Caenorhabditis elegans: one gene and its partners. The protein of the gene in region 1 interacts with the protein of each later gene in a pairwise test. Each region holds a gene or a part of one and is shown in the gene's direction. Other genes may lie near its edges.

Evidence for each region.
Region 2: the proteins of hlh-27 (region 1) and ceh-31 interact in a two-hybrid assay, tested with the Caenorhabditis elegans proteins (one large-scale study listed by BioGRID).
Region 3: the proteins of hlh-27 (region 1) and odd-2 interact in a two-hybrid assay, tested with the Caenorhabditis elegans proteins (one large-scale study listed by BioGRID).
Region 4: the proteins of hlh-27 (region 1) and set-1 interact in a two-hybrid assay, tested with the Caenorhabditis elegans proteins (one large-scale study listed by BioGRID).

What each region holds. Positions count from the first base shown.
Region 1 is NC_003280.10:5,536,336-5,543,535, reverse strand, and holds hlh-27 (BHLH domain-containing protein), read left to right. Parts: upstream 1-3,322; 5' UTR 3,323-3,326; coding exon 3,327-3,484; intron 3,485-3,540; coding exon 3,541-3,771; intron 3,772-3,818; coding exon 3,819-4,236; 3' UTR 4,237-4,461; downstream 4,462-7,200. Other genes in the region: C17C3.24 (uncharacterized protein), read left to right, coding at 1,961-2,023, 2,449-2,532; C17C3.11 (Protein kinase domain-containing protein), read right to left, coding at 5,126-5,373, 5,418-5,490, 5,537-5,701.
Region 2 is NC_003284.9:3,066,720-3,074,556, reverse strand, and holds ceh-31 (Homeobox protein ceh-31), read left to right. Parts: upstream 1-4,134; 5' UTR 4,135-4,249; coding exon 4,250-4,415; intron 4,416-4,672; coding exon 4,673-4,943; intron 4,944-5,000; exon of another isoform or gene 5,001-5,283; intron 5,284-5,337; coding exon 5,338-5,683; 3' UTR 5,684-5,909; downstream 5,910-7,837.
Region 3 is NC_003284.9:6,157,156-6,164,491, reverse strand, and holds odd-2 (Protein odd-skipped-related 2), read left to right. Parts: upstream 1-3,964; 5' UTR 3,965-4,006; coding exon 4,007-4,317; intron 4,318-4,393; coding exon 4,394-4,847; 3' UTR 4,848-5,115; downstream 5,116-7,336. UniProt on the Caenorhabditis elegans protein: May function as transcription regulator. Required for morphogenesis and function of the digestive tract.
Region 4 is NC_003281.10:6,448,560-6,456,498, reverse strand, and holds set-1 (Histone-lysine N-methyltransferase set-1), read left to right. Parts: upstream 1-4,126; 5' UTR 4,127-4,142; coding exon 4,143-4,306; intron 4,307-4,439; coding exon 4,440-4,678; intron 4,679-4,724; exon of another isoform or gene 4,725-4,732; coding exon 4,733-4,920; intron 4,921-4,931; exon of another isoform or gene 4,932-5,008; coding exon 5,009-5,146; 3' UTR 5,147-5,707; downstream 5,708-7,939. Other genes in the region: jhdm-1 (JmjC domain-containing histone demethylation protein 1), read right to left, coding at 1-167, 223-299, 345-479, 598-847, 896-1,472, 1,523-1,654, 1,703-2,016; T26A5.6 (UDENN domain-containing protein), read left to right, coding at 5,814-5,870, 6,205-6,402, 6,450-6,687, 6,765-6,920, 6,967-7,289, 7,346-7,692, 7,741-7,874. UniProt on the Caenorhabditis elegans protein: Histone methyltransferase that specifically monomethylates 'Lys-20' of histone H4 (H4K20me1). H4K20me1 is enriched on hermaphrodite X chromosomes and during mitosis. Involved in dosage compensation by repression of X-linked gene expression in hermaphrodites.

The sequences.
Region 1 (7,200 bases):
CGAGTAACAGCAAGAGAGTGTCTGTTGTAGAGATACAGACTACGAAAGTGTGTCTTTTGTGGTGCAGGGGAGAATAAATGGAATGTACGAGGCAGAGCTCTCCTTAGGTTGCTGGTTCGAGTCTCAAGCAGTAGCGTCTTTTGTGTTTTTTTTTATTAATTAGTAAAACATTTTTCGAGTAATTTATTATATACTTTATCAGGATATGCATTATTGATATACTCAAAAGAATACCACCGTTTGTCAAAGTAAAACAATATTATTATTAGAGGAAAAATTGGGTGAAAAATTTGTTATTAATTATTTAACAAATGGCTCAAACACGACGGAAGTTGAAAAACAAAAGTTTGCTAGTTTTTTTAAATAGAAAAACTTCAAGAAATAAATGGAAAACTAACTTACATATAGTGTCAGAGAAGAAATTGAAAGTTTTACCTGACGTCAAACTCGAGATTTGTTGCATCTGAGTATGAAAGAAGATTGTAAATCTGTAAAATTCTGCTGAAAAAAATATTGAAAACATTTTCTAAACAAATTTAAATATTTTTTTAAACCAAACATGCTCAGACAGGTGCGAGTCACGGCTAACCGACTCAAAATCACTGCTAATTAGCAAAACGCCAAAAAACCAGAACTAATTAGCTTAAAACCATGGCTAATTAGCAAACCATTGCTAATTAGCAAAAAACCAGAGCTAGCCAGGTTGACTCTATCCCTGGTCAAAAAGCTAATTAGCAGTGATTTTGAGTCGGTTAGCCGTGACTCGCACCTGTCTGAGTGTACGAATTGATTATCAAAGTCATCCCTTCAAGAGGGATTCTCTTGTTCAATTAGTGAATGAAAAAAAAACGAAAAGTCCTGTAGCTAAAAGGAAAAACTGAGAGAAAAATGTGTGCATTGACGATTTTTATGAGTATTACAGATGTCGTCAATTTAATGTTGGAAAACGTAAATGCAAAACAGAAAGAGACAAATGAACTGTTTTTTTTTAAATGATTTTCAATTGTTTTTAAGAGAAATAGTAGCGATAATTGTTGGTCAGTAACAGTCAAAACATGACTCATTTTTTTGTCGAAATGGTTTATCAATTTTCGTGGAAGCCCCTTGTGGTCGGATCAATCAGACTAAAGCTGCGATTTTTATAGATCTTGTTATCTCTATTAACAATTGCGATTTTTAAGTTACTTCAGAGTAACCAAAACGAGTTCAGGTTATTTTAAAAATAATGGATGGCGTAAAACAAAATTTTTAGAACCACTTTTTGAACCTAACAAAGTATTGGAAGTATTACCAACAAAAAAAGTTTCAGAACTCATTTCCCTAAAACAAAGGACAAAAACATTCAGGCCAAAGGCAACCCTGTATACAGAAATAAGACAGAAATTATCATCGTTGCAACGGGGGGAGACAACAAAAAATCAGAATTGAGAAAGAGCCATGCACCATGAGTCAGGGATTTTTCGTTATTAATAGTTTTTGATAAAATTTGTCCCTTTTTGTTGAAGCTGAGGAGGCTTATTGATTTGAAAGTTTGTTCACATAACCTTTTAGTTGGCAATTGGTACACTTTGGAACACTGAAAACGGAAATATCAGTTTCAGTGATTTTGATTGAAATTGAATACTAATTTCCTCACCAATTACATTCAATCACTTGACTTGACTTCGCTATTAATTTATTGCTCATAGTTTCAGATCTTACCTTCACATCTGCTACAAAATGGACCGCAGAAAGCTTCAAAAAGAGGCAAGAAGTGAAATGAAAAAGGTGAGTATTTCAATCTCGTTCTGAAATTCAACTCATCTTTTATATTCAGACCGCCAATGGCGTCGACCGTGCCACATATAACCGAGCAAAGGCTCTTTTGGAGATAATCCGGAAGGTTAGAAATATACATTTATTCGTCATCACATTACATTTCTAGAATGCCTAGGACCGTTTCAAGACATCTGTGAGAATTATGGAAACCCGCCTTCAGGAAGAGATTGCCACAAATGATCTGGCTTCCTCCACGATCTCCAAGGTGAGTCATGATAATTTTGACTCGGCAAGTTTCCAAAAATTGTCTTCCGTCGTTGTACGATGAAATTTATGGCTTAATATATTAAAGAATAAAAAATAAAAAATTGTAATTTGGGAGACAGATGTGAGTATATTTAAGGTCATAGCTACTGCCATAGGATTACTGTAGCCAATATTCCAGTAGCTGAACTATTCCACGGGCAATCTCCGTTGTTATCATGATACTGTATGATAATTGTAATAAAACTAAAAATCGTTTCTGAGATCATGAGCGAAGATCAAATGAATTTATTGGCGGGTTATTATAAGGCTACTGTCGTGATACTGTAGTGATACTGTTGCCGAAATTCATATCATTGGAGCAAACAGGGAACACAATTTATATTATAAATCGTCCTATCAACTTTCAAACTTATGTCGTTTCAGTCACGCCATGCCATTTTTGCGTCCATAATCGAAGAGCTCAAATCAATTTCCTCTCACTTTTGCATTCCAGCTCTTCCAATATGATTGTTCTCCATATTTATTCTGTTGACCACTGTCAATTCAAAATAGATATCTTCTTATATAAAAATTATGTTCGAAGAAACTGTTGCAAATCAATCTTGTTTAGAATTACTGGCAAAATAATTTCAGTTGTTTTCTCCTATTTTATTTCTTTTCGAGATATTTCTGTTTAAAATGTTGTTCATCCGGTACAGTTGATACTACTATAAACTTATAGAATAAATTAACACAGTGCCAATATCCTAATTCACAGTCTCAGCCGGAATTTCCCAGGCAGTACCCAATCGATATCCAGTCGTCTAGTTTCGCATGGTCCCAAGACAAAACTGGAGATGTCCAGCCTCGTTCTCATGAGAACCTCACTGATGAACCATGGGAACCCATGATGGGGACTGTAAAAATAGAGATTTCAGAATAATTCCCATGGCTCCAAACGCTTGATACAAAGCTCCACCCTCTGAACAATAATGGAACTATAAAAGGTAACCATTTATTCATTGTTCATTTACTTTCTTGGTGGATCACTGGTCTGCTGGTTTAGTATACTTTTTGATAATTGTAACATCAGGAAAGTGTACTGATTTTGATCAATTACTTTTAAAGCATTCAGTGAACTGTATACTTCTAGAAAAACAGCACGAGTTATCTCACTAAACTAAATCAATTTGTGCTGCTTTCTTGGTCTCATTTTTCTGTTTTGTCACAATTATTCCTTTTATTTAACGGCTCATCTTGAAATTTTATAAATTCTAGATTTCTTCTTGATTTTAAAAAGATTAAAACTTATCAAATTTCAGATGCCAAAAGTTATCCCATCTTCAATGAGCGATTATCGTTCCGTCCCATACAATCAAACTCCAAAATCAGGATCTGAACGGAAAAGAAGAAATATTACAAACGAGTTGATTAACGAATGCAAGACGATTGTTCAAAAATCAGAAGAAGAACATATATCGTAAGTTTAAATACTCTGTTAGCTTAAAATAGTTATTAAACTAATTCATTTTTTAGACAAGAAGTAGTTCTCTTCCGAATTGTGAAACTTGTGACTGGAGTTAATCTGGAATCTAATTTCTCATCGAATGACCTCTCCGAATCTACAAGACGGAAGTTTGATACTGAATCCGAAAGAAGAAAAGTGAAGACTGAACGTGAAAAGATTCGAAGAAAGAAACAAGATGACTGTTATGCTGAATTGAAATTCTTCATTTTGAACAAACAAATGGGAAGTTACGAGCAACGGTAAGAGTTTCATTATGGCTAATAAAAATTCAAAAAATTATTTTCAGATTAAAACTTGAACGGATCACAATTCTAGAAATCATCATTGATTACATTAAACACAATTCCGATCTTCTGTATCCAGAAACAATTCCCCAAATACTTCCTCTTTTAGCTGGAAAATCAACTGCTACTTGTGAGAACAAAGAGAATGAAAAGCCAAAAACACGAATGGAAGTGAAGGATCTCTTCCCAAGATTGACGTTTCAAGAAGTTCAAGAATCCCCAACATCTACTTCTCCATTGCTCACATTTCCATGTATTCCAATGATCCCAACTACTCAGTTCAATGTCTTGTCAAACTACAACACCGTTCCATCAATATTTTCTGCTCCCCTCCGATTCATTCTTCCATCACTTCAAATCTTAACACCAGAAACTAGTGACGAGGAAGAAAATGAAGAAACCGTCGATATTAGTAACTAGTCTATCAAGTTCTTCCAGATCTTACAATTAGTTTCTGAGCAATTTTTCGAAAATCTTCATTGTCTATATTGCGTTTTTGATTCATTTTTTTATCTTTCTATGGCCAATATTCCCGAACTTTTTCATCCCATCGCGTCGCAATCTATTTTTGAAGATTTTTTACTACTCACGTGATAGTCTTGTCTAAATTATTCTGTTTGAAAATGAATGTTTATTCGGTAAAATTTGTTAGCCAGAATACAAGCAAGACAAGTATGTATAATCAAAGTTCCATTAGTCCACACCAAATTCCATCTCCCAGTCATACGGAAACTCTTCAATGTCCTTGTCTAGCATCACTTTTTGCAGTGTTGTATAGATCATCTCATAATCGGGCTCCTTGAAGAACGAAAGACTGTCGATATAGCTGGAAATGGAAAATTACGAATAAATCAGCTTTGGTAGAGACTCACTTCATAATCAAGCGAAATTCATCTGGGCAGCCAGCAAGGAATTGGCCCATGATCGGTTGGAAGCGGGAATTCTTCTTCATCGCACCAATCTCGCCAATCTCATTTACATTTTTCCAGGGAAGAGCTGCATTGGTGAAATCGACGAGCATGTAGAACCTAGAAAAACACATTTTCTCAAATAAAAACTATTATTCTTATTTTCAATTCTAAGTGATAACCCAATCTGGCCTTCTGGCATCTTTACAGAATATATCACATAAATGACTAGTTCTTAAATTGATTAAACTAGCCAGCTTTCCAAATCGTCCTTCAGTCCATGTTCCGCCGTATTATGTGATGCAAGCGGTGCATATCGAGGGCTTCCACGAAATGGCACAGTTTTTCTTGGCTCGAGCATCAAATTTTCGCGATCTACATACTTTCGGCAACATCCGAATCTAAGAACAAAAATGTTGCGAAGCTCGCCTTGGCTTGCTCTTCCGAGATAGAAGTTGCCAGGGTTCACATCTCTGTCCAAGAACCCACTCCAATGCAAATCTTCCAATGCTTCCAAGCATTGAAACGATGCCCCAATCGCAGAGCCCAAATGTCAAATGACCATCAGGCCCAGTCTTTATAGCATCTTGCAGGGATTTCCCAAGAAGCTTCATGACAATATAGTTAAAGTTGTCATGGCGTCCCTTGTCTGAAAGATGGGGTTACGGTTACCTACAAAAGTGTACTACATACCAATGAGAGTAGGCATGTGGCTGGGCGACTTCTCAGATACCTTTGTCATCACACAAAGCTCAATTCTCAGCGACTAAAAATAACATTTTCTGCTTAATGGTTCGACAGTATTAACTCACATATATCTCCTTGGTATTCAACTGAGCCTTCAAAACATGCTCCTCTCCAGCATCATCTCGCACAGCATACACTGCTCCGAATTCACCATCTTCAAGTTTCTTGAAAACCTTGTAACGACGAACTCTATAGTCAATACTTAGCTGAATAACGGGAGCCTCCGTCATCTCGTGACGAGAATAGATTTGAAAATAAATTATTTATGGATTTTCGGAAAATATTGATCTTGTCGTTGACGAACTTTTTTAAACACAACGTTATCACATCTTTGAAGTCCACGTTCAAAAAAAGTTTTTCTTGTTTTTTTCTGCAATAAAATTAACTTCATAAACTAGAAAAGGAGATTTTCAAAAATCCGGACTGTTGATTCAAAATTATTTCAAATTGTTTTTATTCTGATATATATATATATATATATAATATAAATTAACACAATTCTAATATCCCCTTTACATTCTCAACCAAAATTTCCTATAAAAAGGGGAAACTCACGCCCATAACATGGCCAAATAATTGTTTGTCCATCTACGGGTCTCGCAGCGAAAATCAAAGTTTATTCGGTGTTTTTTATTTATCTTTTTTTTTTGGGAAATTATGAAACTAATTTTTGTTAAAATGATTGCAATTTCCAAAAAAATCAAAATTTCAAATTAAAAAGCTCGAAAAAATAGTTTAAAACTGAACTCCCACTACAAACTGCCCAGCGGAATTTGGAGTCTCGTTTGGCCACGCCCACTCGGTTCCTTGAACTTTAAGTTAATTCAACTTTCTACAGAACATTTTTAGATTTTTTTTCAATTTTGTATTCAAAAATTACACTCAAAAACAAGAGAATTCTATAAAATTGTGAAAAATGAAAAAAAAAAATTCAAACAAACAATTTTTGTCAACTTTTTCAGAAAATTACATAGTTGTCAACTAGCAAATTATAGAGACATTCTAATTATTTTTTCCGAGCTCTAAATACAAAAAGTTACGCAATTTAAAGTTAGAACTAAAGATTTGTTTTTGAACATTTTCAAAAAAACACATCCCCTTTACATTCTCAACCAAAATTTTCTATAAAAAGGGGAAAGCCACGCCCATAAAATGGCAAAATAATTTGTTGTCCATCTACGGGTCTCGCAGCGAAAATCAAAGTTTTTTCGGTTTTATTTATTTATCTTTTTTTGGGAAATTTAGAAACTAATTTTTAAAATGATTGCAATTTCCGAAAAAATTAAATTTTCAAATGATTTAGTAGGGAAGATTATTAATTTTTCAAAAAACCTCAAAAATGACATCCTGTCCCAGCTTCACTGAATATCGGATGTTTCCGGATGATGTCGACAATCTGCTGACCGGCTTCATTTAAGAAAACATCGAAAAGCTTTAATTTTAGAACTTCCCCGTATGGAAAAGTTTATCGCCACTTTTTCAATTTTCCCTATGTGTTTTTTTTCCAGAATGGGACATCCCACAAAACTTTGACGTAAGTTTAAATTTTTTGAATTTTCTGAAGAGCGCACCATTGAATATTCTCTAATACAATACTCAGGTGTAGGTCAATAGGTTTGGTATGTGGCAAGAATGAACAAATTAATGTTGAAATGTGAAAACAAAATTTCAATTTATTAGAATTTGGCTTATCATAAGTATAATACATTTTCAATATATTGGCATTAGA
Region 2 (7,837 bases), on another chromosome or scaffold:
AATTTTCAGTGAAAAACAAATTTTCTGTGAGAAAAATTTTGGGGGGAAATTCAAATTTTCAGTGAAAAACATTTTGGCGGGAAATTCAAATTTTCAGTGAAAAATTTTGGCGGGAAATTCAAATTTCAGTGAAAAAAATTTTGCCGGGAAATTCAAATTTTCTGAGAAAAAAATTTTTGACTGGAAATTCAAATTTTCAGTGAAAAACATTTTGCCGGGAAATTCAAATTTTCTGAGAAAAAAATTTTTGACTGGAAATTCAAATTTTCAGTGAAAAACAAATTTTCTGTGAGAAAAATTTTGGGGGGAAATTCAAATTTTCAGTGAAAAACATTTTGGCGGGAAATTCAAATTTTCAGTGAAAAATTTTGGCGGGAAATTCAAATTTCAGTGAAAAAAATTTTGCCGGGAAATTCAAATTTTCTGAGAAAAAAATTTTTGACTGGAAATTCAAATTTTCAGTGAAAAACATTTTGCCGGGAAATTCAAATTTTCTGAGAAAAAAATTTTTGACTGGAAATTCAAATTTTCAGTGAAAAACATTTTGGCGGGAAATTCGAATTTTCTGTGAGAAAAATTTTGGCGGGAAATTCAAATTTTCAGTGAAAAAATTTTTGGCGGGAAATTCAAATTTTCAGTGAAAAAATTTTTGGCGGGAATTTCAAATTTTCAGTGAAAAAAATTTTGGCGGGAAATTCAAATTTTCAGTGAAAAACATTTTGGCGGGAATTTCAAATTTTCAGTGAAAAACATTTTGCCGGGAAATTCAAATTTTCTGAGAAAAAAATTTTTGACTGGAAATTCAAATTTTCTGAGAAACTTTTTGTTAGCTTAAGTACCACCTGGAACTGGCGAGACCCATCGTGGTGAGACCCTTAAAAATATGGGCGGGAACTTCAAAATTTATGAGAAAAGAAATTTTGGCGGTAATTCAAATTTTCTTTGAAAAATTTTGGCGGGAATTCAAATTTTCTGAGAAAAATTTTGGCGGGAATTCAAATTTTCTAGGAAAAAAAATTTTTGCGGGAAATTCAGATTTTCTGAGAAAAAAGATTTTGGCGGGAAATTCAAATTTTCTGAGGAAAACATTTGGCGGGAAATCCAAATTTTTGTTCTGGAATCAAATTTTTTGTTTCAGCACCTTCTGGAAGTTTCAAGAAAATTCTAGACTGTTCTAGAATCATCTGGAAAATTCAAAAAAGTTCTGAAATGCTCTACAACCTCCTATAACTGTAGGAGTTTTTATTTGTTTCGTTACATCTATATTCAAAGAACTTAGTAGTTAATTATTCAGACTTCTCCAGTTAAGGAAAGTTATTAACTTATTAAAAAAACTGTAACTCTGTGGAATTTTTTCGAAAGCCTGATAATGATAATGTGTTAGTAGAAAAATCAGAACATTCTAACTGTCTCTTTGAATTTTCTGAATCGTATACCATGGAAGGAGAAAATGCGATTTAATCGATGAAGTTTCAACTTTTTTTAATGAGGCATTTTTGAATGATTAAAAGGACATCTATTTGTTATACATTTTAAACTCCGCCAGTCGTTGGCCGCGCCGGAGGCGCGGTTATCGGCTGGTTATTGATAAAATTTCCAATTTTCAGAGTGACAGTTAAAAATATTCAGATGTAATATGTTGGGAGATTTTTTTGAAAATTGTGTTTCATTGCCAAAAACATGTACTTCTGTAAAAATCAGAGTTTACTCATTTTTTTAACAGCTGTCGAGTTGCCGAAGATTTGAAATATTGAAAAAATTTTGAAAAATCTTATTAAAAGATGACCATTAAACAGTAGTTGAAAACAGAAATATTTTTGAAATTGAAACGGGCACCTGAAATCATGATCAGGCTACTCATATTCAACCTTTCTAAACGTTGTTTTCTGTGGATTTATTATATCACTGAAATAATGCCGAACTGAAAATTTCCTGTTAACAGAGCAAGTATAACTCCATTCAAAACGATTTAATTTCTTGTTAAAGAAAATGTTCTTATTAGGCGCTGCACAAGATTAGAGACCACCCGAAGGAATTATAAAACTGCAGGTGTGACATCGAAATTGGCAGTTTGAAAAGCAGTCGTTTGTCACGTCTGTCGAATATCCGGGCGAGGCGACAAATTCCTCCCGGTATATGGGTTGTCCTTGTATTTTGGTGAGCGGGCGGCAAACAAGCGCAGACTCCTACCAATTTCGCGCACTTCAATTTAAAAGTCTTCCGACATGAAGTCAAAATTCAGGAACATGTTCAATTGATGATTTTACTACTGGAACTCACTCTTATCTTGAGTTGTTGTTACAATACATTTTTTTAGAATTGAAAAAAAGCTCTGTAGTTTACATTTTTGATAATTTTTTTTGACCCATTAGTCATTCCAACACAAAAATGAAAACCCGTAGTGTATTCGATTAGTAAATTTTCCAGATGACTGTGTTCGGTACCCTTAATAACAGTTCACCATATAGCGGTTCCTCTTTTCCTCATAAAACCCCGGTAATGGGCCTACAGCTGTCCGTCAAAGAGAATGCAGATATTATTGTTGCTCATCGACCGTTTGTGACCGGAAATATTGCTTATTAGTTAGTGGGAAAGAGGGAAAACGATGGGACAGCATAAAATTAGATTTGTACGTTTAAGTTAACGTTTTACGGAGGTGGCCGCCAAACATAAACAGCCGGAAAACTAGAGAGGTAATACGGCAGGAAATTAAGTATTAGTAAGTTGTTAGACGTTGATAACAAACAATAGATTCGCGTTGTTCATGAATCGGTTGTGAAAAATATAACGATTGTTGACATTGTTCACTTTGCAAATATATTTTTCAGAATGATAACGATGTTTCAACATGATATTTTATTGAAAACTTTTTGAACAAATTTTCAAGCAAACATAAAGGGTCTGAAAATTTTTTACAACTATAAATATTAGTTTATAATTTTTAAAATATTTCAATATGTAAAACAAAGTTTTTTTGCTCATAATAGTCTATAAAAGAGGAACCCAGACTATTGCAAACTCGGCTACCGAAAAATACAAATTTAAACTCTAATTAAGTATAAATGCTCAAGAAATTAAAAGCTCGGAAAACGTTTACATTTTTTTAGTTCCTATAAAGCTCAAAATAAATAAAAAATTTACTTACTTAGCATTTTATTATAATTTTTAGTGTTTTGAGAATCTGATTTTTGCGGATCTGGGATTAAAAAAATTAGGTACCAGTTTAGTACACCTGGTCCAAAAATATTAAACCCCTTTTTGCCGATAATAGGCTTAAGGTTAAAGTATTTCAAAGTCTAAAAATGCAAATCTATTTCATGGTTTGAATAAATTATTATGTTTCAAAAGAAATGCATGGAAAATGTACTGGAAAATGTTTTTGTGTTAGGTATACTACACAAGTACCAAAAGATGTTACCAGTTAATCTGAACTGTACGTGTGAAGCAAGTTTAAGATCACAGCCAGGAAAATCTAAATGCAAAATGAACTATCAAAAGTAGTCACTGTTACTGAACTTTTCAGATAGTGTTTTCCATTGTGCTGATTTCAAATCAGTGATGTATCAAATATTAAAACACACACAATGTACCTATTAGACCTCATCATCTTTTAGTCAGAAAGCTGAAACATCATTCGGGCTGAAACTCATTTTTAGCTTTAGTCGCTAGTTTTTGCACGCCGAAGCAGCATGCTATTTTTGATTTTTTCTGCGGTTTTACACTAGCATAGCTAGTTATATTGAATTCTATTCAGTGCTTTTTTATCTGAAAATCATTGCTCGTTTGGATCATGTTGCATTGCGTTGTTACTCTGCTTTTAGGAAAAGCCTAGTGTGCATAGTTTGCATTCGGCAGTTTCGGGATTTGTCTGAATTGTTTTCTTCTCACCTGAATGCCTCATTTCCGAAACTTTTGCTTTTCGTCTTTTCCTCGAAGCTGCTCGTTTTCAGCTTCATCGTCCCCCATTATCACACTTGATTGGCTTCAAAAAGGTGGATTGCACGGACCACACTTCTCAATACAAAACCGCGTGGTGTCATCCATTCTATTCCCTTCTTCGACACGCCCCGCCTTCCACTTCGCATGGGCGTGACTAGACCAATCAACGAGTTTGCGACGTTTAGTGACTGCAGGCAACAGGACCCTTCCAACCCACTCATTCACACTAAACTACTGTCTAAAAGTCATTCAATTTGACTATTACAAAACTTATTGTATTGTTACATCATCTGATAAGGTTATCATAACAATGTCAATGTTGGATCTCCGTCAGTTTCTGATTCCTGCATTCTTTCTAGACCCCACCAACCAACTTGCTGCTCAGAGTTCTTCCGGTGGCGCGAAGATAAACTTAAACAGCTCTTTTCGCATTTCTGATCTGCTTGATCCAACTTCACACTCAACCAACGAACCAGGTAATCCATTTTGCCACCATTTTCCTAAAGTTATTGCATTTATTGTATGTTCGTTCAACCATCTCTAACACTTTAATCTACATAGACTTCCATGAGAATGTTGAATGTACAACTAACCTGAAAAATGATATTTAACGGATTAACGCTCCAGTAGTCACATGGACGGTAATCTGTAATAGTAATAGGTCAACCAATTATGATCCTTTGTTCTCCTCTTACCTATACAAACAGTTTTCTTTATTTATTTGTTATTGTAGATCCATCTCCTACCTCCATTAATTCCTCGGAATCGCCATCATCCCCTAGAATTGGGAGCCCGAATACCGAAAGATCTGTGAACGAGAGTCCGACATGCGTGGGATCAAAAAAGGCTCGGAAGGCGAGAACTATCTTCACCGACAAACAACTTCAAGAGCTAGAAAACACCTTTGAGAAGCAGAAGTACTTGTCTGTTCAAGATAGGATGGAGCTGGCTCATCGAATGGGGCTAACAGATACTCAAGTAAAGACATGGTATCAAAATAGAAGGTTGGTCGGCTATATTCCTTAATTAGGCAAACTTTTTTTCTTTTCTCGAAAAACAACAACGTGTGGCTCTTTGCGCCAGCAGTTGGGCGAGAATTGAGTCTAAACACGCCACTTTGTGTTAATTGTAGTGCATTAGCGAGAAGCTTCACCCCCATCGAAATTTATCTTAATCAAAGCTCTCACCCCTCCTCAATTTCTTTGCGTGCGCCCACCAATTTTATTTAGTAGTGTCATCTTTTTTCCGCGCCCTCCCCCACTCCTTTCAACCACCCCACGGGAAACGGCTCCACTGTCATTATCCAATTTTTGAGATTGGAGCTGCTACCCTGGGAGGCGCAAAAAATTTGAGAAAAAAAGTGCTTGAAATGAAAAAAAATGTTCACGGTACTTTCAGAACCAAATGGAAACGACAAGCCTCTGTTGGTATGGATCTTCTTCACGATGCTGGAAATATGGCCGCCGTTCAACAACTTCTAAGAACAAATCCATATTGGGCAAACTACTTATCACAGAACACTTCAATGTTTGGAGCTTCTAATAATCGCCCTGTATTCAATTCATTAGTCGTCCCAACTTCTTCAATGATTCCTGCTAGCAACTCTCAAAATTCTCTACTGCAATTTCTAGCATCGCAAAACGTAAAAGATGATATCAGTTCCCCAAAAGAATCACCATCAGTATCTCCTGATTCTGTAAAAAATGCATCTGTTTCTAAAAAAGAATCAGATGAGGATGAATAATACCTTTCCACCTTGAAGATTGTTTTTTTTTCGCTTAGAGTATTTATCCGGTTTTCATCACGCAAAATGTCAAATTCTCAATTTCTATTGTTTTTCTCTTCTATTTTTCCTGCTGAGCCACTTTAATTTTGCCCTCATTCTCAAAATCCGATCTCTTAATTTCTTCTGTAATGTTTCACTTTCAATGTCTTGGTTATTATAAAATAATAAAATGCAATACAGTCAACGGACGCTGGAGTGTTTTCGCTCAAGTAACAGAACATTGCGAATCATTCCAAATGACAAAATTACGGTAGCGATTTCCTCACACCAAGTGCGTCAATTAGCCTTCTCATTAATAGACAATTTTGGGGGGAAGCAAAAAGTCGTCCCGCTTCCTCTCCACCTCAAACACTCTACGTTACTCGTCAAAGTGGAGGCCTTCCAACTTTCATAGCTGAGTAGATTTTCCGTAACACCTTTACAGTTGAAGATCGTCTGCCTAGGAGTCGAATAATTCGTCAATTATAGCGACACCTTTTTCGAACAATGATGCCACCCAATTTGAGAAAGGAGGTTAGAGACGCGTCCTGTACAGTTTGTCAAAACCTCAACCTTCTTTTCATTCGTCTTGTTCAATTGTTTAGCAAGATGACAATTGTCGAAGGAGACCGCAGCCGTGTATTATTGCAATTGAGTCGACTTGTTAACGAATTATTGTTCAATCATGTCATCGTTTCAGGGGTCGTTGCGAGAATGATTTATTGAACTGGTCTTCGTATTGGAATGTCAAACATTTCCTGTAAACTCATGTAACTCAACTTATTCACCATTTGACATGAACTCGTAAACTCATGTAATGTTATTGAATGGAAATTGGGAAGAATTCATCGGGGAAAAAGTTCATCTAAAAAAGAAATAAACTATAGAAATGGCAATAAAATCAGCTATTCATCTGAAACTACTCATCTCTGTCCTAATTAGTTTCCAATTTCCTCTCATAAATACCGCAACTTGTCCCGAGAACTTTACCCGGCGTCTTTCCACTATAACTTATTCCAAGCATACGGTGTCTTCCTAGGAAAAATCCGCTTTGAAATTAAAATGCGGTTTTGAAAGTGTGCATCACTTCTAGCCATTGTTCTTTTTCAGAGAATTTATATCTAGAAAAATTTGTGTGATAGTGACAGAATGATTGATTGAAATCACAGTAAAATTGCAGAGTTAGAAAAAAATGTGTGACTCCGCAAGAATTCAATTAAAAAAGCCAAAAAAAATTTTCAAAAATTAAAAAAAAAAAAAAATTTCAAAATTTTATCGCTGATCAATTTAGGATCCCACTACTTTACCTTGAAAGGTATTATCCTAGTTCCTTTGGAAATCATCAGATACGTAAAAAACATATTCTGCCAGTTGGTGAGCAGCCGAAACACAGAATCGTGATGCAAAATAGAAGAAATACGGTAAAATACTCGAAAATCTGAAAATCAAGAACTAGACAATTTTGTAATTTGTCCTATATGCAAGTGTGATCAACTGTTCAATGATCCCGATTAAAGGTGTCAAACTTTTGCCTTCCCCCATATCATACACATTTCTCCCAAATTAGCATCATCTTCATTTTTTATTCATCCGGGAGCTCATCGGACAAAGGAGACGACAGGTGTATACGTGTATTTGTCAGTGTGTGTGTGTGTGCTGAGTGTAAATTGAATCAATTGCCACCAGCCCCCTGAGCTAATTCCCTTGTAATCTTTTTATTGAGAGCAGCAGTCAATGATACATTAGGGGTGGTTGACGAGCCACATCATCAGATCACGGATCGGTGCGCAGAACATCATGATTGTCTCCGTTGTGGCATAAAATATGGGAAGAAGATCAAGTGATTGTAAAACAATCATTAGATTATCTTATTCTACCTAATCCAGAGGTTGTTAAAATAATACTAATTATGAGGTTATAATTTTTATGACCCCATCGACGGAACCAAATTCATCGGAATGGTTGCAAACTGTGTTTTTGGATGTGTTCATTCACAATTCACCCCACTACCGTTCACGGTGTGGTGTCCAATTGCTTTAATGACACCGTTCCTTCAAAATCCTATTTATTGGCGGTAGACGATTACCGTACTCGTCTCCTTTCTCCCCTGTCTATTCTCGAATTAGATGTCAA
Region 3 (7,336 bases), on another chromosome or scaffold:
ATTATCAAAAAATTGTTCAGTGACAAAAAACGTCCAAAATATTACAGTGCAGTTTGGCTGACAAGTTTTTTTCAAACCTTAATACCCGTCAGAGCAATAAGGGGATGGGTGCAAGTCTAATTAAAAAAATACGGTATGTCTGTTCAGTTTAGTTATGAATTGTTAAGTTTTGAAGTCGATGTTGTTTTTGTCTCAAAATATAAGTTTTCAAAACCTTCAACATCCGGACATTGGAACTGAAAAGTTAAGAATTTTCCCATCGGGTGTCACTAAGGTGTCATCGGGCCTTCCGATTATTATTGCTTTCTAATCCATCCAATATAAGAAAACCCTTTATAGAATGAGTCACAATTGCAGGCAATGATATGTGCAAACAGGACCCTTTCCCTCAGCTGATGTGTTGTCGGCATCAGAATTTAACAATTAAACCCTGTAAGCTGCCGGCATGCTTGCTGACACCTTTCATCCAGCCTCCCCGCTTTGTTTCCTCGCTATTCATCAGTGAGGTCCAAATATCGTTCCATACCTCTTCTTCAGCGATCAAACAAGGCAATAAGAAAAGAAGGTACAATAACCTATCAGGCTTGATCAATGCATTTTTTGTATGACAAGCTTCTTTAGGTAAGTAACCAGTGCCGCCGGAAGGTGGCACCCTGTTGGAAGGGTTTCAAAAAATCTACCTCGTCTTCTGTTCTTCTGCCATAACAAAAGAAAAAATGACAATTTTTCTGTGTCATAATCTAACTGATATCATAATCTACAGTAACACAAAACAATGCTGGTTTCCCTCGTCGCTCACTAATGAATTTTCTGTCCGTTTCTTTTTCAACATACCTTCAATTTATTCTTTTGTATCGTCACAAAAAGTTCTCCTCCTATTCTAATACTCTGGGAGTCGGTACCCGGGGGTGTTGCGCAAAGGGAAGATGTTTATTTGTCTGAAACAGTGGGGGTTCTGTTTGGGATGAGAGCCGGGAGTATCATTTCTTCAAGGAGGGGATTAATGGAAATGCACAATTCACACCGGTTGGAGTCTTCAACACAGAGGTTATGAGGATACCGACATGGGAAATTACATAATAGAATTTTTAAAAATTTACTTGGAAATTACAAAAATTTCCACATTCCTCCCATCATTCCACTGCTTGGGACAAAGTTTCGCATACCTATAAGCCGATATGTCCTTTTTGTTTCAAAACCGAGACATTGGCGTCAAAAACTTCATGATAACTGCATCTTGTCAGCATTATCGCTCCTCCCTAACTTGCAGTAAGCGGATTAATTGTACCCCTAAAACTACCTACTAAATAGAAGCCTACGCTTTTTGTTATCATTACCCTTTTTTCTTCTTCACACAGAAAGAACCTTGTTCTGCACGATTCGCACACCTTTTCCGGAAATCATCATTGACTCACACCTTATTTCATTTTGTGATTGACTTTGGCATCACTACGGTGGATAATCTTCAGGTAAATAGAATTTTGATTCATTTTTTCCAAGTCTTTTTTATCATTAAACTATCATCCCATCTACTCACCTCTAGTGTTTTCAAAGATAATAGTCAATTATCATTAGTCGGCATGTTGCACCAAAAGGGAACGTTTATGTAGTGAGAGTCATAAAAGGAACACGTACCACCCCAACATGATAGGTTTCATAAAAAGTTGTCGTCGTCTTTGAAACCAAATTCAAACGGAGAATAGCCAAGAAAAATGGTTTGCTCAAAAAAAAGTGGGCGGTTTTTCTGCCGCGCGGTACTCCATATTCCAAGTCATTCTCTTTTATGTCAAATTTTAATGTGTATTTTCAAAATTTCTGTTCACTATAATAGGACAGTTTACTTCCATAACTCATCATTAACGAGTAGCTAGAAAGGTGTATAACTGTCGTGCAAATGTTATCTAAATAGTGCAAGATGTCCTAAGTTGTCATCAGTCAAGTTATAAAATGTCACTTATGTTTTTGGTGTACTACAGTTACCTAATCAAAAATTTTGAATTTCTCTATAGATTCGGTTCCCGTGTGTCTAGAAAAACTTTATCCAGACCTAAAGGCGCTTTTTATGTTTCTTATCGCTCCAGACAGTTTCACGGTTTTTTAAAAGTATAGTTAGGTCTAAAACTTCTTTGAAAAGGGTGTCATGAAATCTTCAAAGATCTACTTCTACTTCTAAAGTAGGCGGTGCACGGCAGCACAGGGCCTACCGTAGTCAGTCAACCAGCGCCCGCCGAGAGAGCAGCAGCAAAGACAGTGGGCGTGTCGGAGGAGAAGACGAGCTGAACACGAGGTGGTGGCCGCCTCCGTCTGCTTCTGGGAAGCCACTCAGTTCCTCCATTCTACCAAGTATAGGCGATATTGTATGTTCTGAAAACTTGGTTCTGCAAATTTTTCAACTATTTGTGTGAGTTGTTGAAGATCTCTAACAAAAACTGTCTTAACTCAACAGTTTTATCGTTACACAGTAGCTAGCTAGCTAAGTTAGACAGTGCTCATTCGAGCACATTCTGTGAAAACTAAATTGAAAAGTACCACTTTTGGAAATTCCATATTGGAGAATCTGTTAAAAAAATCATTTTCAAGCTGAAAAATTAAGATCAAACTTTTATACAGTTTGTAGTGCCCAAATTTTCGACAAAAGTGCATATAAAATTTTGTATTAGTATTAGTCTGAACCGCTAATATGATTCAATGACAAATTTCCCGCCGTTTTACCCACATTTTTCAATTGTGTTTTGCAACCGTACGGAAGAGGGTTCTACTGTTTTTTATGTGGCCAGCATGCATCATAATTTGTATCATTTCTTGTTTTTAAACTATTATACATGAAGCAAAAAATTTTTGAGATGTTTAAAAGCGGGAAAATAGGTGGCTCGCGATACGATTTTATCATAACAATAGGTTGAGAATGATATTCTGCTCCCTGTCCGCTTTCGTTTTTCCCCATTGATACCAAAGTTTCTTTTTTGGCACCATTCTTCTTTCCACATCGCCGAAATAGAGTGAGAAAAACGGGGAGAGTCAAAGTCACAGTATCATCATATTGTCAATAGAAGAGGCCCATATTTAACTGTGATTTTTTTCTTTTTTTCTGCTAACTTTCTTCCTTCTGAAAATGTCTAATGTTTGCATATCACCGCGAGTCTTCACCCGAAAAGGCTTTCCCTTTTTCTCATTTTTCCCCTACTTTTTTCTACTTTTTCTACACTTTTCGACTCTTTTCTGCTGGTTTTCTCTATGAGTCAATATGGAAAATGTGGTTCTCATTTTCTTCAATTTCATAACTTGCAAATGAGATAGATAGCTTCTAGTCACATACACCTCTACTGTTTGGTAAACACTCCCCTAACACCTCCGTGCACGTCGGCTACCTTTGATGTAGGACCGAAGCACGGAAGCCAACCGTTTTTATAGCCGCCGTGTACTTGATAATATCATGCGCCCGAGCATCAACAAGCCATCAAAACCTTTCTACTTACCGACCAGCACAAAGAATTTCTTTCAATTTCGCCCCTCTTCCATTTCCAATCATTCGTTATCGCCGTTTCCAAAATTCAGAAGTGTTAGCGAGTCTATAAAAATTCATAGATGACGCGTGGTGTAAAATGTGAGTCGCCCTCCTCCCAAAAAAGCGGCACCATAGAGTCAAAGTATCCCACTGAGTTGTAAGTGATCCTCCTTCTTTCTTGACAGTCATCCCTACCACCACCGCAACATTGTGCTCCGCCTGTTCAGTCCTCTCCTCCTTTTAGATTTGTTTGTAGTAGATTACCCCATAAGACGATAATACTCGTTAACAAAGTGACAACTTCTCTTGAAAAGGAGCAAACAATAACTATCGCTCCTTCTTCTGAATTCTGCTCTCTTACATTGCCCAACGGTATCATCATTTTTCCCTCTTTTCAAATCGTATTTGCTCGTTCCGCTATTTTTGCGACCTCAAATCAATTTGAAATAATTGTTTTCTTTTCAGCTGGAATCAACACTAGCCCTTCCCGCACACACAAAAATGCTTCCGTGGCAACGACAAGTTCCAACATCAATTTTTCCTCAATCAAATGAACAAGTTTTTCGAATGATGCTTGCACAACAACACCTCCAACTCCAAAATTTTCTGCAGCAGAGGAAAATGGCGCTGCTTGCTATGAATCCAGAAATTCCAATGATCACCGATCTCAAGAAAGCAAAATTTGACTTCACTCACATGGCTGATTCAATTGAATCTGAACAGAAGATCAAAGAAGAAAGTGTGTCTCCAAAAATGTCCCCGACGCTCACTACTGCAGCCGTTCGACCATTTGTTCCTTACGATCAACCATGGTAAGCTCTTGTATCATAATGTACGATATGATGATAAGAAATTTTATACTGTATCATCTCAACTATTTAGTTTTAGGTTCATGATCCCTGGACGTGGAAGGACTACTGGCCGAGCAGCCCGACCAAAGAAGGAATTCATCTGCAAATATTGTGATCGTCACTTCACCAAGTCTTACAACCTCCTGATCCATGAAAGGACACATACTGATGAGCGACCATACTCGTGTGATGTTTGTGGAAAAGCATTCCGTCGTCAGGATCATCTTAGAGACCACAAGTATATCCACCAAAAGGACAGGCCATTCAAATGCGAAATCTGTGGGAAAGGATTCTGCCAATCAAGAACTCTCCTCGTCCACCGTGCAACACATGATCCAAACCGACACAGTATTGGAGCTCCAGTTGTACCAATCAAAAGTGAAACACCACTCCCTGAACTGGATCCACGAGTAACATTAATTCTTCAAAATCTCACTGATAGCTTTAATTCGACGTCTATGACATCCCCACAAATCTCACCTGATCGCTAAATTCTGCTGAGAATTAGTATTTGGCATCTAGGCTTTCTTATGAAAACGGTCAATTTTGTCATTCCTGCTTAAACATTTTCATGTTGTCCAGTATTACTTGAGGATCATCTGTTTTTTCCAATATATGCTACTCTTTTTTTTCATATGTCTATATTTTTTTCGATTTACCTTCTCTCTTCATACTTGATAGGGTCAAAGTTTTAGATTTGTGATTGTGTCAGATACAATATTGTACCAAAAATAAAACATTTTCTGAATGACGTTGCAATACGGTGTATAGAGTTTACAAGAGGGCAGCAAGGGATCATATGTGCAATATCCACGGTCGGCACCGTTTATTGCAGATGGGTGTCTGTTTTCAAACCGGAAATGATTTGAAGAGGATAGAAGGCAGCATGAGCTCCACAGCAAAGGGCTCACAATGTGCAAATTTTTGAGCTAGCTCATTGAAGTTTCAGCATTGACTATTAATTCATGAAACTGTGCACACAGATTTCATTCCAAATCTCTGAAAACCCTAATTATCTCACATATTTCCTAAATTGGTTTGAAAACCAAACTTGAAAATATTTTAACTAAGTTTTTTTGTTGGGCATTAAAGATTTAGCATAGTAAATTTTCAGACAATTAAATATATTTGAATAGTTTCATGTTGTAGTAATGTTTCGCAACATTAGTATGTCTTTGGTTTGTCGTGTGAGAAATGCTTTTATTTGTATTTTTTAGAAGATAAATTTGTTTTGCCATGCTTAGAAATAAACAAGTTCTGATTTTTTTAAATTCAGTTTTTTTTGTCTTATTCAGAAGTTTTCATTGCGATCAGACTACCACTTGGTTTGAGGGTCATTTTCGAATTTTTCGCCGGAAATCTAGTATTGATATGTGATTGAAAAGACTAAAGCATTTCTGTAACTACTATTCTACTCTGATCTTCAAAACAAAGAGCAACAGGGAGAAGAAAGTTGAAAAATCGACTAGCAATCTGCTATGGGCTTTTTGAGATTTTCAGAAATGTTTTCAAAAATCCCATTTTTTGAAAATCATGAAAATGTTTTTTAAAGTTAAATTGCATTAAAAAATGTTTTTGTGGTGTATGTTTTGTTTTTCATAATACGGAATGGACTAGAAACAAAAAATCGCTCAATTTTCACATTTACTGAATTTTAAGCTCAATTCTGACACTATTGATTAATTATTTATTCCTAATTCTAATTACGTTAAATCACACGGTTTTATACATTTTAGTGTTTTTTTAGAAAAGTTTCATATTTTCGAGTCATATTAGAGACAAACTGGCACAAATATGTTTTAAACTTGTGTGTTGTTAAGAAACTTACAACCGACGAAAACATTATTTTTTTCAATTATCTAATCATTTGTTGATATGTTCAAAAAAAAACAGGTTTATGAAAACCGTATTAAAAAATTAGTCATTTTTTGAATGAATTTTCTTGTTCAAAGTGCTCATCGGCAGCTATGAAAGGTATATTTTAAAGATTCCTATACAAAATATGTTTCTGTAATAGCAAGAATTTGAAGAGAAAATTGACTGTATTCAGAATGATTTTCAGACTGTTTCTACTGACATTTGGTAGTTCTGAGAGTTGTTGAAAAATATGGTCTATTAAAAAAATGATGTGATGATTTAAAATAATTTCGTAAACCGAACAGCAAAATGTTATTTATCATTGGAATACTTGAAAGCTTGAACACAAAATTCTACGTGATTCTCTATAAACTTCAATGCCATATTCTAAACTGAAAGAATAGTTACTTTTCAACATTTTGATTGTAAAATAATCGTTTCATATTTCATTGATCACGTGAGATACCAATTTTAAACTGAATCCTCTCATTGATAAAATCATTCATATGTTGCCAATCGATTACAGTTCAGAGTAATTTTGTTACGGTAGTGATAAACGAGCAACGCTGGCTAAACCCGCTTATGTCGACCAATTCAGCCGTACACACGGGTTTCTGATTCTGTGTCGGTTATCATAACCTACCAACTCCTTATTAATCACTACTTAGTCTGTACACTGAATGGGACCGTTATGCAATGGGGGTGCCAGGTCATTCTGATATCATAGAAGGCTAGTGGGAAACTGATTTGATGACATACTATGGTCGTTGTTTTTTAGGGGAATATTTTGGAAACCAAGCATAAACTGAAACAAAAAAAATGTGTTTGTGTTTAATTAATTATTTCAAAAATGTTATTGATAAAAATGTACGTTTTAATGTTACAGCCTTTTAAAAACATAAACTTACAATTGGAAATTTGATTTCAAATGAGAGACTAGTTTTCTAGTTCTCACTGTTTGAAATGTTCTGGAAAATTAAGTTTACTTAAGTTTACTTATACTTTCTGATTTATTATTGGAAGAATTTTTCACTTTAATCCTAACAAGAAAAATACTCAAATTGAACATATTTTTTCATAATTGGAGGAGTATCAATTGTGGGGTTGCTGATTATAGAGACTT
Region 4 (7,939 bases), on another chromosome or scaffold:
ACTTCGACACGTGCTTTTCGACGAATATAAGTGCCAAGAGTTTCAAGTTCATCCAAAAGTCGAGGGGATATCCTAGAAATCTCATCATCGTTAAAGTAGATTGGCGGCTCGTGTCCAATTGGAAGTTTGTGGTCCGGCACGCATTTATTTCGAACAAAATCGTGCGTCTGAAAAACATGTAAATTTCGAGAGGAAACTTCATTGAATTCGATAAATTCTTACACGGTTCTTGTAGAAAATTAATGAATTTGAATTAGCTAGTTCATCGATTTCAGCATCGCGTCGAGCATCCATTTCTTCTGAAATTCATCAATTTTATTACTGTCGTGTTTAAATCTCCTTACCTTTAGTTTCTTGATACTTGACTTCATCTTCGTCAGCTTCTTCTTCAAGACCCGTGTCAGCTGAAAACGTTGCTTTGCTGACCATAGGATAACCAAATAGTGAATTCTCCGCGTGCATTGCAATCACTTTAACTTCTGAAAATTTCGATTTTAAAATCATATAAAAGAGAGAAAAATATTAAAAAGATCAAAGAAACCATTTTAAATTAGTCATTCATTCTTTTTTGACATTAAAAAATAAAAAATACTCTACCATCTTTTGTGGATTCCTCGTCTCCTTTAATCATATCGTTTGTCAATTCAACTCCAGTTTCGTAATCTGAGTATTCGATTTTCTTATGATGGCCACCAGCGGTTTTCCATTTGTCTCCAACATAGTCATATTTTGCATCTTCGATTCGAAGTGGTCTCACATATTCTCTTCCTGTCCATTGTTTTACATAATCAGCTATAACGTAGAAAATAAGTTCTTCATTGTACGGTAAGCGAAATTTTCTAGTGATCTGAAATGTTTCAAATTTGTTATTTACAAGTCTTCTGTAAAAACTCACATTCAACTTATTTTCAACTTGATAAACTCTTAATTGTGTTTTGCATGATTGTGAGTGAAGAAAATTGCCTCCAAAAACGAGACTATCATCTGGAGTATATACGGCATGAATCCATCCACTTGGAATTAGCATCGTGTCTCCTGGCTCCAAGATAGCCACGTGGCACTTTTCGACCGACTTTCCAAAGAACGCATTATCGTTGACAGTTTTAATAAATTCTTGATAAATAAAAAAGTTGGTTTCGGTTGGTGGAATCAACCAAAAGACTTTACGACCTTTCAGTACATGATACCACACAGATGTTCCACTAAAATCAATGTGAAAATCTGTATAACAGTTCGCTACGCTCATCAGGCAGTAGTTTTGAACTTTTGGAAAAGTATGATGCGGATTGTAGAATTTTTTGTCTCTTCCGTTGAATGAGATCCACCTCTGGCGCAGAGCATCTGGCCACTGGTTTCCAACCCAGTCGATTTGACGAACAAGTTCTGGAGATTTTACGAGATCTTCTAAGGGAGTTTGGGAAAATTCTAGAGATAGAACATTGTACAGTACTTCTCGTTTTTCTTGTGGCGTTCTGGAAAATGAAGTTTGATTGGTGTTTAATACTAATTTGTAATTACTCACTTGTAGAAGTTTATAAATTCCTGTAACGACATTTTCACACTTCCTTGATTCTGGACTTGAACAACTTCTATCATTCGATTTCCGCCTACCAGTTCGAGGACATCATCCACTGAGAAATCTGGTGAGGGAAGTCTGTAAAAATATTTATTTTTACAATTAATTGGAAAAATCAATACTCACGTCATTCCTATTCTTTTTGGATCACATCGGAAATGTATCGGGTTGTCAAGTCCATTTTTGTCGTAGAACTCCAAATTTAAAGCTTCTGGGTCCATTGTATGTACAAATTCGGGATGTTGGAAAGACGGATCATTCATCAGAGCTTCGAAATCAAAATTCACACATCGTTGAAGTGACGACTTATCGAATCCAGTAGTTTCTTCACCTTCTGAAGCACTATGTTCGTGCTCTGAACTTGACTCTTTCCTAGCCTTCTTTGCGCCCTTTTTACCGTTCGCTGGCGTTTTTCCATTTGATTTCCGTTTCGGCGGCATCTAAAATAATATATTTTATTAGAATCATAGGAAAATGGTTAGTTATGATACAAAACTGTCATAAAGTTGGCGTAACTACGGTAAATCAATTAAAGACTTGAACGCAGAGAACGGAGTTTTTCTCAGGACATTTTCAAGCGATTAATTAGATTAACTTTCGAGATTCTAATGGCTTTTAATAAAAGAAAATGTAAATTAAGTACCCAAAAAAAGTTTCGTGAACTGCTTGAATTAAAGGTACATGGAATTTTCGAAGGGTCTCAAACGGAACACAGTGATTTTAAAAAATCGATCGATTTGTCGGTTCTTATTTATTTAATTTTTTGGACTTTTTTCATCTTATTTTTGAAAACTGTTTCTAATTGTTTTGATTGAAGCGTTAATAAGACCGAGTAAGGAATTATCTTTAAATAAATTGACAAATTTTGAACATAATTTTCCGCACTACGATGAAAAAAGTTAAAATTTGATTATTTTTGCTTTTAAATGCTTCTTAAAAGCAATAAGAGAGAAATACACATTCAAAACATTAAAGCAAAAAGCGTGCAAAAATCGAAATAGAAACTATGGGCAAGGAACGGAAAAGGCGCAAGCTGGACCACTGGCGTGTTCGACGCAAGCCGTTTCTCTCTCTGCGACTCTCCTCACCCTCACCCCATAGTGCATTCCTGTTTGTTGTTTGATCGTATAACCAGCCTCCTTTCTTTTCACTCCCTGATTTCACTATTTCTTCCTCTTTTTTACTATTTATTCCATTAAAATACAATTCTGGGTTTTCAAGGTCAATATTTCTTCCTTATTCCTGATAATTCGTATCGATTTCCCCTGACATCCTTTCTGGCCTACAATTATGTGGCGTTGTGACGTAGACCGCTGAATTGACAAAACAGTCGAAAACGAACGGGTGGACGGCACCATTCTTTGTTTGCTGCTCAATCTTACAACGACTAAACTTTTTATCGATTTAGCGTTTTATCGACCGCAGCATAAATAGGAAGGGAATGGAATAGAATATACCGATCGTTTTCTAATTACCCATTCATAATCGATTAGCTGCCAGCATCAATAAACCAGCGGCTGCATCTTCTTATGTCATTCAGATTCTCGACACCGATTCGATGTTCTTTTTTTCAGCATATCTTCTTCGTCGGGCTCTCATGTAGTCGCATTGAAGAATGACAAACTGCATTTTTTATGCGATGACACTCTTGTGCACGATGTTGCCATCGATTTGTTGCTCTGTTTCTCATAGTTGTTTTTTTTCAATTCAGTCAAAATTAATAGATCAATAGGACATCTAAATTTAAAATTCCAGTTGGTATAATATTTAAAATATAAATAGAAACATTAGTCATGCGCATGGCGTCAAAATTTATCTAAATTTTAATCTTTGAGTATCTTTTCTGTTTAATTTTACGAGCCCAATAAGTGTATCTATTATTACGGAAATATACATTTTAAAGTTCAATTCCATAATTTCAATCCACCATTTTTTACACCAACCACCGACATCTACCGTGAGTGCAATAACGCTCCACGGCACTTCCCGCCAAAACCATATGACTGCACACCATTTGAATTTAGTCGCGTGTGCACGACATTGTTCTTTGTGCTCAGCTCTCGTCAAAAACCACTGAATTTGATTTCTAATGAGGTTATTCACGAAATGTGGATAAATATCTTAATGATGATGTTCTACTCGGTCTTTTGATATTTGGAAATTCAACGGAATCGGTGAAAGCCCACCCTTTTCACAATAGAAACCTTCACTTTCTAAAAAAAATATTCCTCCGAAAACCCATTCAATCTGCTTTACGCATCTCTCTGCCCGCTTCAATTTCCTCTGTTACCCTCTTCCCAACTACTTTTTCAGGTACATCCAAGATGGCTTTTCCATTTTCAATTACAGTATTCAGGACCGATGAAATCATATTGAATATCTGGGTTTTTGAAACAACACATTATAATATTTTTACCCAACCATTTCAAAACAAAAAAAATAAATTGTGGGCGAATATTTCTATTATTTCTATGACACCTCTTTTGCTTCTTTATAAATTTCTCTATTTTTACTATTCTCCTCACCCTACAAAATTTATTATTTTTTCAGCGGTGTCACTCGAAGGATGAAAGTTGCCGCGAAGAAGCTGGCAACGAGTAGAATGCGAAAGGATCGTGCCGCAGCAGCGTCACCATCTAGTGATATTGAGAACTCCGAAAATCCATCGTCTTTGGCTTCACACTCTTCATCTTCAGGAAGAATGACACCGTCGAAAAACACAAGGAGCAGGTATGATTGATTAGTGACAAGAGGGATTGTAATAGAACGTTTAAAAACTTCAATATTTCTAATTGAATTCACAACATATTCACAGAAATTGTCCAAGCTGAAAACTTCAATTTCCAAATAGTTTTTCTTTCAGAAAAGGAGTGTCGGTGAAAGATGTCTCAAACCATAAAATCACAGAATTCTTCCAAGTGCGGCGAAGTAATCGGAAGACGAGCAAGCAAATTAGCGATGAAGCTAAACATGCTCTTCGCGATACCGTACTCAAGGGGACTAATGAACGACTTCTTGAAGTGTACAAAGATGTTGTGAAGGGGCGAGGAATTCGAACGAAAGTTAACTTTGAAAAAGGAGACTTTGTTGTCGAATACAGAGGTATGTAGATAACACAGATAATTGTTGTAATATTGTTTTTAAAAAGTATTCTAGGTGTTATGATGGAGTACTCGGAAGCAAAAGTGATAGAAGAACAATATTCGAATGATGAGGAAATCGGATCCTACATGTACTTTTTTGAGCACAACAATAAAAAATGGTGTATCGATGCGACAAAAGAATCTCCATGGAAAGGACGACTCATCAATCATTCCGTGTTAAGGCCGAATCTCAAAACGAAAGTGAGCATTTCAAAATTTGAAATTTATTAAGAAAGTCTTTGATAAATTAAAAAAATGTAAATAACAATTCCAAAACTAAACATTCCAGGTGGTGGAAATCGATGGGTCGCATCACCTGATTCTCGTCGCCAGGCGTCAAATCGCACAAGGAGAAGAGCTTCTCTACGATTATGGAGATCGTTCAGCAGAGACGATTGCCAAGAATCCATGGCTTGTGAACACATAATATGTTGCTCCACAACATCTCTTCGATCTGCTCAATCCATTTCAAATGTTCATTTACCTTCACGAGTATACTACTGTAATTCCCTTCATTTTCTCATATTTTCCACGGCACTCGTGCCCAATCCTCTCATTACTTCGTCTCTTTCAACCGCCTTTTCTCATTCTCACAGCGAATCAAACCTGAAACAAATCTCAATAACGAGCCGTAATAACGTGCTCATTTATGATAATCTGGATCTCGTGAGTATCCAATTCTGTACCTTTCCTGTTGACTTTTGAAAAGTCCCTTGTTCTTTCCTTTCATTGAAACCTGAAAATCTCCTCACTTGTTCCACTACGAAATGCCTTTAATATCTTTAATTCTTCTGTAAATTTCTCGTTGATCGCCCATTTTTTCCTGAATTATTCATTTTTGTGGTGTACATGAGGTGCGAGTTGGAAACCTACTTTAATGACTGGTTAACGCTAAAATCGTTTCCATCCCTATCGGAAAACATTATCAGCGTGCAAATCTCAATTTTTCATTTTGAAAACAATTAAAATCCATAAATTTTGCTACATTAATCTTTTTTTACGAGTATATTCCGTTTTCCGGTATAGCAACCATAAGAATTTATCTGAAGATGGTAAAATTCGGGAAAACATTAGAGCTTACAGTTCAGAGAAAGATGCATCCAATTCTGAATGTGGTCGTCGTTAGTTTCCATCACAAGCGAGGATGTGAGGTAACAAAAATGGCAAACTATCAGAAAAATCAGGAAAATATGATACATAAAAGAATAAACTCGAAAACGTAACGATTAAGGTCATAAATGTGCAGGAAAGTAATAAAATGGCAATATAAACTACAAAATCGCGTATATTTTGCAGTTAATTTGAAATAAATGTTACAGTCAATCGAACATTTCACAAAAAGCAGAACGTTTTTGGTACTTTTTACTATTTTTGCAGTATTTTTCATATACATTTAATTATTAAGTTTTGTATTATATGGAGTGAAGATTTAAATTCAAGTTCATCAACTCAATTTGTAAAAAATCAATAAAATAAATCTTGTAGGTAGAATACTCGCACCCGAAACTCGATGGCACGGGCGAATCGGGATTACCCGATGAATGGCATCTTCTTCCATCACTGGCGTTGCCGGATGGTGTACATAATTGTCAAAAAGATACAATATTCTTTTTGCTTCCATCTAGAGAAGAACCTGGAAAATCGATATTTGGCATCTCGTGTTACAGACAAATCGATGCAAAAGTGAGATTTTATATGACTCTTCAGATAAAAACTGTTTGACTTTGCAGGAATTAATAAATAAATCGGAAGATGTGACTAGGACCAGTGTTCAAAAAGCTGTATGCGTTCTTTCAAGAATACCACTTTTTGGTCCATTAAAAGCAAAATTGGAAGTAATAACTCAGGCATATTTTGAACAAAAAGATTTTTCGAAAGTTGATGTTCTTGCTCAAATGTATACGAATCTTTGCGATATATTCGACGAAAATCTTACTGGAGAATACTTTTCAAATCTAGCTCATCATGGTACGTTATTGAATCAATTTACTAAAATAAAACATGAAAATAGTTTCAAATGTTCACATTTTAATTAGCGATATCAGTTTCAGAAATATCAATTCAAGAGCTTTTTATACGATTCCGTCACCGAGCTCTACTGCTTTTTAAATTATTCCTATTAGAGCGGAAAGTTTTATTCATTGCACCAACTGGATTACGATTAGGAGAAACTATGCTGGCTATTGTTTCAATGTTTCCAAGTAAGAATATACAGACATTTTAAAATCGTTTAATTTTGAATTTCAGAGCTTTTGGAAGAAGGTCTGTTCTACGCAACAATCGGGGTCAATACGAGTTGTCATTTCAAAAATGTAAATTCAAAAACTGAAGGAAAAAGCGAAGAAATAGTGATAGAAGAGGAGGTTGGTGTTCAGCTTTCACATGATGATCCATTGAAAGAAAAGGATTCGTGTGGATTTCCTATAAGCTTATTCACACAAGGATCATCATTTGATCCATATCTATCAATTCAATCAATGGATTTAGTCCCGAAGACTCAGAGTTGTATATTTGGAGCTACGAATGCCTTATTTGCGATGAAAAAGGATTTATTTGATGTTATTGTGAAGGTTTGTATTTTAAATTAACAATTTTCAGGTTTCTAACTAAACTTGAGTAATTTCAGATCGAAGACGACGGTTCTCTTGTCCATAATCACATTGAATTTGTCAACGACACAGCATTGGAACGAGTAGTTTCTCTAACTACTGCAGATCTTCGATTCGCTGATTTTATTCTCAAAAAAGTCGAAGAACAGGTTAAATCCTCAAATGCTGAATTCGATGGATCAGATGAATGGATTCGTTTACAAATGAAAAACTATCTTCTTGGCCTCGTTGCCACGTCACGTTCCGATCTACAAGCAGCGATACCTCATTTTGGAATCGCTTTTGTAAACGAATGGCGGAGAACTAAAAATCACAAAATTTGGGTTGCAAACAAACATGAAGATTTAACATCTGTTGCGCCAGGGTGAGGAATTTCAGAACATGAATACATTTTTCAATCTGAATATTTCAGGCACATGTTCTCGGAACAAATGGGAGTCTATGACGTGTATCTTCGTTTTGAACATGCCGTAAATGGAGTTGAAGGAGCTTCAAAAGTTATTGGAACTGTAAATACTGCCGGAAAGAATTTAGGAAATACCATTGGTAATTTTTTTCGGGTTTGGAAATTAATATAGCATCTAAAAAATTTCGAGAAATGAAGTAGCAGT